Oreochromis niloticus: one gene and its partners. The protein of the gene in region 3 purifies or fractionates together with the protein of the main gene of each other region. This does not show direct contact. Links are inferred from orthologs where the notes say so. Each region holds a gene or a part of one and is shown on either strand. Other genes may lie near its edges.

The links.
Region 1: the proteins of dis3l (region 3) and hbs1l purify together in Homo sapiens (affinity purification with mass spectrometry; 5 studies listed by BioGRID and IntAct, with this or other methods). This does not show direct contact. The link is inferred for Oreochromis niloticus from reciprocal best matches to the Homo sapiens genes DIS3L and HBS1L.
Region 2: the proteins of dis3l (region 3) and exosc9 purify together in Homo sapiens (affinity purification with mass spectrometry; 3 studies listed by BioGRID and IntAct, with this or other methods). This does not show direct contact. The link is inferred for Oreochromis niloticus from reciprocal best matches to the Homo sapiens genes DIS3L and EXOSC9.

The regions. Positions count from the first base shown.
Region 1 is NC_031980.2:8,003,803-8,007,555, reverse strand, and holds the start of hbs1l (HBS1-like protein), read right to left. Parts: upstream 2,452-3,753; 5' UTR 2,213-2,451; coding exon 2,170-2,212; intron 1,523-2,169; coding exon 1,454-1,522; intron 1,227-1,453; coding exon 1,095-1,226; intron 886-1,094; coding exon 634-885; intron 172-633; coding exon of another isoform or gene 1-171. UniProt on the Homo sapiens protein: GTPase component of the Pelota-HBS1L complex, a complex that recognizes stalled ribosomes and triggers the No-Go Decay (NGD) pathway.
Region 2 is NC_031971.2:37,045,233-37,048,985, forward strand, and holds the start of exosc9 (exosome complex component RRP45), read right to left. Parts: upstream 2,510-3,753; 5' UTR 2,416-2,509; coding exon 2,350-2,415; intron 2,142-2,349; coding exon 2,047-2,141; intron 1,958-2,046; coding exon 1,838-1,957; intron 1,078-1,837; coding exon 975-1,077; intron 886-974; coding exon 748-885; intron 610-747; coding exon 527-609; intron 1-526. UniProt on the Homo sapiens protein: Non-catalytic component of the RNA exosome complex which has 3'->5' exoribonuclease activity and participates in a multitude of cellular RNA processing and degradation events.
Region 3 is NC_031965.2:3,303,455-3,307,207, forward strand, and holds the start of dis3l (DIS3-like exonuclease 1), read left to right. Parts: upstream 1-1,440; 5' UTR 1,441-1,585; coding exon 1,586-1,715; intron 1,716-3,753. UniProt on the Homo sapiens protein: Catalytic component of the RNA exosome complex which has 3'->5' exoribonuclease activity and participates in a multitude of cellular RNA processing and degradation events.

The sequences.
Region 1 (3,753 bases), on a different chromosome or scaffold from region 3:
TAAGGCTAAAATCCTGCTTTTCACAGCTGCCAGCATTTGGTTGAGATAAGAGTTCACATAAGCTGGGTGCTTTTAGTTCAGGTACATGTGGATGTTCATGTTTGTGCCCATGTGTGTTGGCTTCATGTGCCTTGGATGTCGTGTCTGTGTGAGAAGCAGACAAGCAGGCTCCTTACCTTACAAAAGCCAAGTGCAGTTGTCGAAGAGTAGGGGTGAGGGGGAGCAGAAGTCAAATCAATCATGTAGCAAAAGAGAGAAAAAAAAAGACAGAAAGAAGGCACTTTGTTAAACATTTGTATCACTATACAAATTTGTGCGAAATCAACCAAGAACACTACTGGCTGTTAGGCTTCCATACACCCAATAATGACACATATTTATATAGAAGTACTAGCAGCAGTGACTTATGTTGACTGCGTTTGAGGAGGAAATGGGAAATACTTATCTTGGAACACCCACCTATACAGAAAAATTTTTCATAGCTATGAAACTCCACAGAAAACCCAAATCTGTTATACAACCCTTTAAATGCCACAAATTAACGTCCTCCCGGTGTGTTACTACACTGAATCACTCAGGGGTAACAGTTTTCAATCACTGAAACATTTTTATTTTGACCCACTCAAGGTGTACCTTTGTCAGCCACAGCCTCTTGTTTGGTTCTTTGTGGTTGTGGCGCTTTGTCCTGGTTAGCTCGCTCTACTGTACCAATCTCTTCAGCTGTACTTCTGGTAACTGGAGCGGTTTTAGTGTCTTCAGACAGTACTGCGTCCAGTGCCCTCTGTGGGTCAAATCCACATTTTATGGCTGCCTGGGTCAGGACTGAGTCCGGCACTGCATCTCCCAGCACAGTCCGCATGTGGTCCAGACAGGAATACAGCTTGGCTAAAGAGTACAGCAAACATTGGACACACACAATAGATTTGTGATCCATACAAAAAGCAAAGAGTAAAAAAAAAAAAAATGCACAATTTCAAACAAAAGTTTAAAGGACAAAAGGAATTGGTGCATGGAACCTTTAATTGTGAAAACACAAAAAACAAGTTGAGAAATTTTTATATTCTGAGCCACAGTTGTGTGCTTAAAAATACTACCTTGATCAAGAGGGCTGAGGTTGTGGTTGACAGTAGGGGACACAGGGACAGCCTCATCTTCAAATTCTTCCTCCTCTAAAGGCTCTTCCCTTGGTGCATGTCTTTCTTGACGCGAGTAGATGAACTGATTTGCTAGATAAGCCAAAACCATTTAATTTTAATAGTAGATTATACGTTATCATACATGATGTCTACTTAATGTTGCATACTTTCAAACTTAAACTGGAAATGCAAGCAACTATTGTTATCAATGAGTGTAATGAAAAAAAGTTATTTATTTGAAAATACAGTGTATGCTTAACTTCAGACAGATTCAAATTAGTTTGCTCCATCTTCACTATGCATCAATGCTAACCAACCTGTTGCTGGTGAAATGCAACAGTAGTCATCCTCCACAGACTGTCCATACATGTCATCATCTTCAAAGTCTGAAAAAAGAAGAAGAAGAAGAAAAACAACACTTAGATGGATACCTTTGCTCATTTAGTTGTGCCTCACACAAACAGTCGTATACACAGTTGCAGTAAAGCCCCTTTATGCCAGCTGTGACTTTGCTTTGTCAGCAACTTTATGAATGCCACTGCACACTGGAAACCTGGAGATTTTCCTCTAATCGCTAAACTCTAAGCTTTATTTACAGAGATATTTCGCAAGTTAACAACATGGGGAGATGTGAATGTAAAGAAGAGCAAGTAAGGAATCTGGTGTAACTGACACAAACAAAACATTGGATAGTTAGCAAGCTAGGCTAGGCAAGTAGCTGGCAATAACCTGAGTAAACATTAGTAAATTGAGTAGCTACACACACCTCACATCAAAATTTGTCATTATAACATTAACCTAAAATCCTGGGTTTGCGTGGGTATAAGTAATTACTGTCGTTATGGGACAATTTATCTTGCGCTAGGTGCCAAGTGACACGACATCAGTGTGATCTTGCCAGTTAAACGACCTAGCATTAGCCGCTACAGCTACTGAATAACTGTAAACTTTAGCTTAGCTGTAAACAGCTAACTGGTTTAGCTCTTTGAGGCCTTGCCGCGGCATTTAAATCGGAACCCTTTTTGCCATCTACCTTCATCGTAGTTGTAACCTCGAACATTTCTATGACGAGACATGTTGATTATGCCTCCTCTCTCGGCGCCACTGTTATGTAATTCGGTTCACGGACATGTGTTCACTGCCCAGCGAAGCTCCTGCAGTTGCTGCTGTGTGAAGCTAGCCTACCTCAGCAGGCAGGTCACAATAGATTCGACAGTCACGCAAATACATAAATGTAACCACAACACAAAAAAACAAACAAAAAAAGAAAATAAATGTATTAGTTGTATTTACGTCATTTCATCGACACCGAGCTTTTGCATAATTAAAGTTTAAAAAAAAAATAATAATAAAAAGTTTTTTTCTTCGCTGACGAAACTTCCGTTTGTAGTTCTTCAGCCTGGCATAAGATCTCAATGGGTTTCAAAACGTTTGCGCTGTCAGACCTAGATTACACTGGATTTATTTACAGCTTCAACTCTGTGCATCCGTCAGAGTAAAGTTCTGCAAGCCTAAAATAGTAATAAAAGTTGCACCCCATATAAAAAAGAAACATTGCACTACACGACGAGTTTAACAGTAAATAATAAGAAATAACAAACCACAACAGAGAAAGAAAATAAATTATGTCGCAAAGAAAGAGAAAACAACCCATCTGTGTAAAATGGAAACGTTATAATAAAATTACTCTTTAAAACAAAGTGAATGACTGGGAGAGGACTCTGTCTGACAGAGATAAGAGTATCACAGGAAAATAAGAGAGGTGTGAGGTGGTATGAAATACAGTCTGTAAAGTGTTAGATTTTCTCAGGTGTTAAGCGTCCATGGTGCGAGGAGGGTGGGGGGTGTAGCATTTCCTTTAAGCCCTATAGTCTTTTTGCCACCAGGCATCAGGCACATATAGCAATGGCTGAAAAAAAGAAAGAAGAAAAAATGTTGCAGAGCTGGGCCTCACATGTGGTGATGCTCACTGACCTGTGGTTTCTCAGGTTGCGCTTGAATTATATATATTTTTCGTTTAAGAGGAACAATACTTGTAAATATTTGCTGCACTGAAGCAGAGTGAAGTTTTCCATTTTGGTAGGACACTGTCACAAAAACAGAGAAGCAAATAGGTGAGGAAAATCAGAAAAAAAAGAAACGGGGGGGTGGGGTGCCTTTGTGACTCATATCAGTAATAACTGACCTGGCATAGTTTTCCTGTAACAGCAAAAGCAAATTTTTTATTTCTAGTTGCACGGCCTTTAAGATCTGTGGACCTTTGACTGTGAAAGAGGACTGACCAAATGTTGTTAAATAATGTTCTGATTTGCAGTTTTTTAGTCTTTTTCATTTTAAATGTTTCCCACCTGGATGTTTACGAGGGGGTAACCCTTGTTTCTCTTTTCTGAAATGGGTAGTTTATGTCATATTTCTAACCTGTTTTCAGAGTATAATGTCTGGGTGTGCATCACAAAGTAGTGAATGTGATCTCTGCTTTTACGGCTTACTAGGGCTACGTTTGAAAAAAAAAAACCCCAAAAACGGAACAATTCTAATTGTTGTCCAGTCACATCTTTAATGATTCATTGAGGTGTCAAAACTCATCATTAAGGCTACAGGGGGAAGTTGTCGAATG
Region 2 (3,753 bases), on a different chromosome or scaffold from region 3:
CAAAAAAGTCCCTCACACTATCACATCATCACAGGCAGGGTGGACTCATGCTTTCATATCGTTCACCCCAAATTCAGGCGCTATCATGCAAATGTCACAGCAGAAATCAAGGTGCTGTCAGACCAGGTGATGTTTTTCCATGTGGGAAAAGTCCCAGAAGATCAACAGTTTCTGAAATACCCCGGCCCGTGTAACACCAGCAACCACGGCACTGTCTTCATGCCTCAATGCACTGAGCTGCTTAGTAAGCTGCTGAACAGGTGTACCTAACAATGTGTCCAGTGAGTGTATACCACTAATACTTTTCTCTTCTCTCTGTCTCCTGCTTTCCCCTCACTCCCCAGCTGGTCGTGGCAGGCTGATGAGGGCTGCCCCTCCACGAGTTTTGTTCTGGTGGAGGTCTGAAGTGACTCTCTATAAACACTACTGAATATACTGAGTTAACTAAAACCTGCTGCACCTGTAAACATGACATTAAAATTTTGATAAACAGGAGAAAAAAATCTTGTGAGAAGCAATCTTTTACCCTTGTTGGAAGAAGGCGAAGCTGACGCTGATGGGCATGTGGTAGATACTCAGAGGAATAGGGTCTCTCTCCTCTGGACTGTACTGAAGACAGAAATTAAAAAAAAAAAAAAATACAGCTAACATAAAGCAGAATTCTCATGAAAACAATAACATCATCACTTTTCTCCCAGCAGGTCCAGGGAAGCTCAGACACCACCTGCTGTGGTGCTGCTGACTCACCACTGTGACTTCCTGTCCCTGGGTGCTGACGTCAGGGCGCCTGAAGTGGCACAGAGCAGTGATGGCGGCAATGCTGGCGGCATCCATCAGGTTTCCATCATTATTCAGTGTGTGAACATCCACCCTGATCTGCCACACCTAGAAACCCACAAGCAAGCACCACCACCATCATCATCATCAATACATGAAGCTTCTTTCTGTCTGTCGTGTGTGTGTGTGTGCATTACCTTTTCTCCAGACACCACACACAGAGACTCCGTATCGATGCACTTGGAGTTTCTCAGGCATCTCTCCAGCTGTCTGTTTAGCTTCACTGACAGCTCAGACTGTCTGGAAACACAGAAAACCCCACAGATGATTTACACTCTCTGCTCCAGCAGTCTGTCTAAATGAACCAGTCAGCCCCAGGGGAGGACCACTACTCGGGAACTTATTGTAATTTACAATAACTGCAGAGGTCATCTATAATTCACCAGCTATCATTTTCCAAACACAGAGGTCCTCTTACATATTATTTCCATGTAAATCAGAATTGTTGGTAAGCTAAGGTAGCTACAGTAGATCAACCCTTAATTACCTCACTTAGAAGCCAGGAGCAGGAGCACCATAGATCAGATGCCCAAGCCACCTCAGCTAGTTCCTTATGTTAGCAGCTGTACTCTGTGTGCCTCCTGAAAGAACAAGCTCCACACCCTGTCTCTACGACTGAGCACACACTGCCTTTGGAGGAGCTCATGTCTGTCGCTCGCATCCACAATTTCAGTCACTAACCACAGCTCGTGGTGACATAGATGGACAGCTATCGTTTCATGGTAACCTTTCTCCTCACCAAAACAAAAGTGCCACCAATCCTTTTATCAGTGTCCCGCTGCATACATCCCCAACCCAGTCGATACTCCACCCTCATCCAACTGAGAACCACGGCCTCAGAACATGGAAGCTTATTATGGATGCTTTCCAGTCACCAGATCTCATTAAATTCAGGAACAATGTCCCCTACACTCCATAAAAAACACACCATGCTTATTTCTTTATATTCCAGTGAACATAAATGAATGAGCTGAATTCAAAGAGTGAGGTTCGTCCTCACCTTCCCTGCTCAAATCCCGGTGAGGCCATCGGGGACAGCTCGATGTTGAAGAACATGATTCCTTCATTCGGTCGGTTTTCTTTAGGAGCCACCAGCTCGCACGACACCTGCGCCATGACCCTGCGGGGCGCCGTACAGTGAATACAGAGCTCAGTGTACACAGATGCTCAGTTTGACACACGATTGCAAACATGTGGCTGCAACTTAACCTGGTTTGTCCCAGATCCACAAAGCAGCACCCATAGTCAGTCCCAAAGCTGATCTTAATCTTCCTGTAGTCATAGGTCTGCCGTCCATCCAGGCGCTGAAGGAAGAGAACAGAAACAGGACACGTGAGTACGGATGAAAGCCTGCAGGTGTGCTATGGTAAGGCACTATAATACACATCAATCCTCTCTAAAACAGAGCAATGATGCCAGGATAGGACACCGATGCATGTCCTAATGTACATCCTCAGGCTGCGCGCGCGCACACACAAACACACGACAGCGCGTGCTGATTATCTCACCCACCTTTTTCTCTTCGATGGCTTTAAGCAGGAAGTCCCGCTCGCAGTTGGACAGCGGTGTGTCCTTCATTCTGTTTTTGTTATAATATACTGATCTGGTTCACCGTTCCAACAAGCATGTGGCCGCCATCGATGTTTTTTTAACTCTAACCCGGAAGTGCATAAGACACGTGAACGTAAAAGCGGCTAGAATATATATTTTTTTAAATAATTGGCGTATCTCAAATTAATAAGTATTTTATTACACTCCTTTAAATTCATTCAGAATCTTTATTTGTGTCGTATTTCATTATTTTTGATATGTTGGGCGTAGAATTTATTGATAAGGGTCTTTTATTTTGAAATCCCAGCGCGGTGTGATGGCTTGATGCCTTTAGTGACATATTGAAAGCTCGTCCTTTATAGCACTCAGTAGCTGCTTTTTATTCCTTTGGAGGAATTTGGAAATTTTGGAAAACACATCACAAAGCAAAATGTATTTAGTATGAGGATATTCCATTCTTTAAATGTTGTTTTATGTTATGCATTAAAAATAATAATAAAATTCATGTTTTGTCACTCAGTTACACTGAAATATATTTGATAGAAAGGTTTCACTTAAAGAAGGTAAAATTCTCAGTCCTTTCTAGGCTTTTGTGAATGGAATTAAGCTCAATATTAGTAGATTTGCGGCCTCACAAACTAGAAATAAATGTCAATATTATGTGTAATATTATATGAGTATATGCTGCATGTAAGCTTTCATATATCTCCTTCAAATTGTCTTTTCAGCACAGCAGACCTCCTGCTTTCATCTCATCTTGTCCTTAGCATCCACCTCTGACACACTAACCCTCTACATGTCCGCCTTCACTACATCCATGAACCTCCTCTGTGAGAGTCCTCTTTTCCTCATGCCTGGCAGCTCCATCTTCAACACCCTCCTCTGCACAAGTCCAAACTATCCCAGCTTTGCCTCTTTAGCTTTATCTCCAAACTGCTCCAAAACTGACTTCTTCCTCTGATGTACTCATTTCTAATCTTGTCCATCCTGGAGGCTCACAATGAAAATTTTAGCATGTTTAACTCCACCTCCAGCTCAGCTTCCTGTCTTTTTATCAGGACCACCTTCACAGCAGGTCTCATACCATCATGAAAGCCTTCACTTTCATTCTTGCTACTGTCTTTCTACCACAAATCATCACTAACACATGTCTAAATCCCCTCTACCTGCACTTTCTTCTTCGTGTGTTGCTTTGCATGGTTGACTCCAGGAATTAAAATACTTTATTCATTCAAGAGGAAATTATGTTATATGTTATATTTAAACTAATCTGCCTTCACTAGCTTTGGTTTCTTCTGTCTTCACTATTAGGTCTGCCTCCCTGTTCTAGTCTTGGTTTTCCGGACTTTCATTCCTCTTCACTCC
Region 3 (3,753 bases):
GGTCAGCTTATTATTCCAGCAGTGCAAAGGTGTTGATATCCTGGATCTTGTTATTACCATTCAGGTGACTCGGCAGGACTATGCCAGTTCACACCTGGCATACAGCTTGATGTCATCCATGTAGAGGAGATGATCACTGCTCCATTCTCCATGGAGAAAGTGTATTTCCTTGGTGAATCCAGCATTTGATGGTGACTTTGTTATTGGAGTTAGCCTCTACTGTTGTTTGCCACATCCCCATTGAGTTCCTAATGAAGGCTCTTAGTGTCCTGCTGATCTTGTATAGTTCTAGGCATTCCAGGATTCATGTGTGGGGCATTGAGTCATAGGCCTTCTTGTGGTCAATCCAGGCAATCCAGTAAACACAATGGTTAGTCTGGTCTTACTGTCTCGGGCGACTGCTCTGTCTACCAAGAGCTGGTGTTTCGCTCCTCTGGTGTTTCTGGCCAGTCGTTGGCTGCTGCACCCATTCTGGGTATTTTACTGTCTATGCATTTACTCTTGGCTTGTAGTTTGGTATCAAAATGCCAAGACTGCAACACCAAAAACACTCAGCTCCCTTTTTCAGTTTGGAACCTCACTATTAACTAGTTGTGTTACTGAGGTTACTGAAAAGTGAAGCCAGTGATGTTTTTGTATATCATGGTTCCATTCATTAAGTATAAAACAGGCAATTGTGACTGACAGTCTCATTCATGCATGCAGTGTCCTCATATTTGCAATCCACCATGTGTCATATGTTAAATAAAAAAAACAAACAAACATACAAACAAAAAAGCCCCTCAAACTCTATTCTACAGAGTGGGTGGGTGACATGACCATGTCACGGCTGCTGTGTTAATCTTTAATACACATTCTGTCTCTTTCATATGTTTTAAGAATTTTTCTTTTACTTTGGTATTACATTTAAATGACATAGAGATTACAGTAGCATCAAAATTGTAACATTTACACACTGTTTTAGCACTAAAACACTAAAAATGTGCAATATAAATGAAGCCTTTAGTATACATCTGTAGTATTCCTTGATGCTTCGATATTAATGTAGTTTTGCTTAAATTTGTGGAAATGGTAAGGTTTACTATAATTACTCGATAGCATAGTGATTAACATACTACAGTGCTGTAGTGTAGTTGTGTCAGGAAGGGCATTCGGCGTAAGACTGCCAAATTAAAACATACAGACAAGGGAGCAGCTCAGATTAGCTTTGACTCTAATTGCCAACATGAAGATGTATATGAATTAAAGGCTTTAACTTTGCTGCATTTGGACAAATGGTAATGCAGCTTGGGAGCCTTAAGAGCTGATATTAGTGTTGGCTCTTATATCGCTGATCCGAGTCAGTACCGAGGTCATCAAAAAGACCAAGAATTCCTATTACTGGCCTGGGTGAGCGTCCGACAGCACTTGAACGCAGCAAGACGCGGTACTGCTTGGGCGTCATGACGTCAGCAGTCGTGCCTTTCCTTCCGTGTTTCCCTGAACTTTGCCGTGAATGTTTACAACCGCGTCTTCCCGCGTTTTGGCAGAACAGCAAGTTAGCGAGCGCCGGCGGCTGTATGTGGCTCATTAGTGAGTGTGGACGATGATTAAAACGGAGAGAGTCCTGCATTTGAAAAGCTGCGTGGGGCGGAAGGTCCGAGTGGTCCGGGAACACTATCTGAGAGAGCGGGTTCCCTGCTGCAGCTCACTGTGTCAGGCCGACTGTGTAAATGGTAAAATCAGCTAAATCTCAAATTCACAAAAACAGCTCTTTGTTTGCTGCTATAGAAGTATCTAACGTTGCTGTTAATGCAATACTGGCAGGTAGTGGTTTGGGGGCGTACACAATCAAATGAGGAAAAATAACTTGTTTTAACACGTAATTTTTATTATATTATATTTTGCTTCACTGTAACATGAATCGTGAAATAGCAAAGTACATACAGTATGACCCAAAGCTAGAATTACCTTGTATGACAGTTAAATGGCAAATCCCACCTGTGCACAGATAAGAGGCAAGGGGTGTTGTGCCAAAAAGTGATTGTCTGCCAAAAACTGATTTCCGGTATTTGCCGAAAACTGATTGCTTGTATTTAAACTGCTATAAATAACTTATTGGTCTATAATATGTGAAACATATGTCAAATGTATCCCTCATCAATGATATCAAGTCATCTTGAGCAACAAACAACATTCCTGTAAGAAGGTAGAAGCCGCAATCAGTTTTTGGCAGTGACTTTTATATAAGCTTTATTTATAATAATAATAATGGATTGGATTTATATAGCGCTTTTCAAGGCACCCAAAGCGCTTTACAATGCCATTATTCATTCACGCTCACATTCATACACTGGTGGAGGCAAGCTACGGTTGTAGCCACAGCTGCCCTGGGGCAGACTGACAGAGGCGAGGCTGCCATATCGCGCCAGAGGGGCACTTAAAATGCACTTAAAAAAATTCCTGTTCACTTTAAAAATGTCTCTTTTAAGAGCAATCTGGCCAAGAGGACAGCTGAAATTGCAATAAAAGCAAAAATAGTTCTGTAAACATATGTTAAGTGACAAAAGGGAGCTGACTGGTTATAATGTAACCAGTTACAAAGATACTTGAGAAACAGGTAATTTTTTAATTTTATATATAACCCCTTTGTAATACCTGTTCACCAAAGTCTATTTAGCAACATATGTTACGATATTACACATAAAAAAACACACGGAAACATTGGAAATCAGTTTTTGGCAGGCAATCACTTTTTGGCACAACAGTGCACCAGTCTGACTTTGTCTAGGTCAGGTGTAAAACCAGTACTTTGTTCTGCCCATACAAGCTACCGATCTGAGACCAATGTTAAATTAATATGCGCTATTCCTCACTGTGAGGAAGAAACTCTTTGATGTAAGAGGCAGTCAGGATGCACTCAAAGATTCCTTCCTGATTTTGTAAAATGTTAGTAAAATGCAGCAAATGAATACATCCAAGAATATACGTTTAGTGAGTTAGTGTTTATTGGTTAAAAAATACATTTGAAGGGATGAAAACAAAAAGCATGTTTTTGTTTTCACTAAATGTATTTGGACTAGTTAATTTTAGCTCAGTGTAAGAATCTTTATTGATCTGTGCTTTATGGTTATGACAGTTCTTCTTTCACTGCTCTCAGTCTTAATCTAAGTGCACATCTTCATATGCATGTAATGCATGGAGTGGAGCTGATGAGAGACAGGTGAATTGGTGTAATATTAATCAAGTTGACACAATCAACAGTACTATCGTAAGTACAATAAAGTGTTCATAGTAGTTGTTAAACCAAATATATTTAGTGAGAGCATGAAAGCAAGAGAGAAAAGCCAACAGGTTTGTAGAGCTTTTTAGTGATGTCCACTCACTTGACCACAGTTTGTTAGAAGCATTCAAAGAAAAGCTTTGGGCATAGCAGGTGTAAAATGCCTCCAGGCTGCCAGCTCTTTTGCTGTTGGTTTCCTTCATGCTATGATCAGCTGGTGATCTGCTGCTGACAGTGGGGATGTAAACGCAGAACAGTGTAGAACTGGACAGATTAGAGCGTTGTCACCAATACCTTGTTTTGCTTTTTGAGTCTGGACTGCATTGATATGTGATCCAAATACTGGATAGGTGCACCTGTAGTGAAGAACAATCACTTAAGCTTGCACATTTGTGCTGCTGTTTAGTGTTTGAGGTGAGAATGATCAGCGCTTTTATGAAATATCAGTCCGAGTTTAAGAGGTTTTATCCTGTGTATATTGACTTCATCTT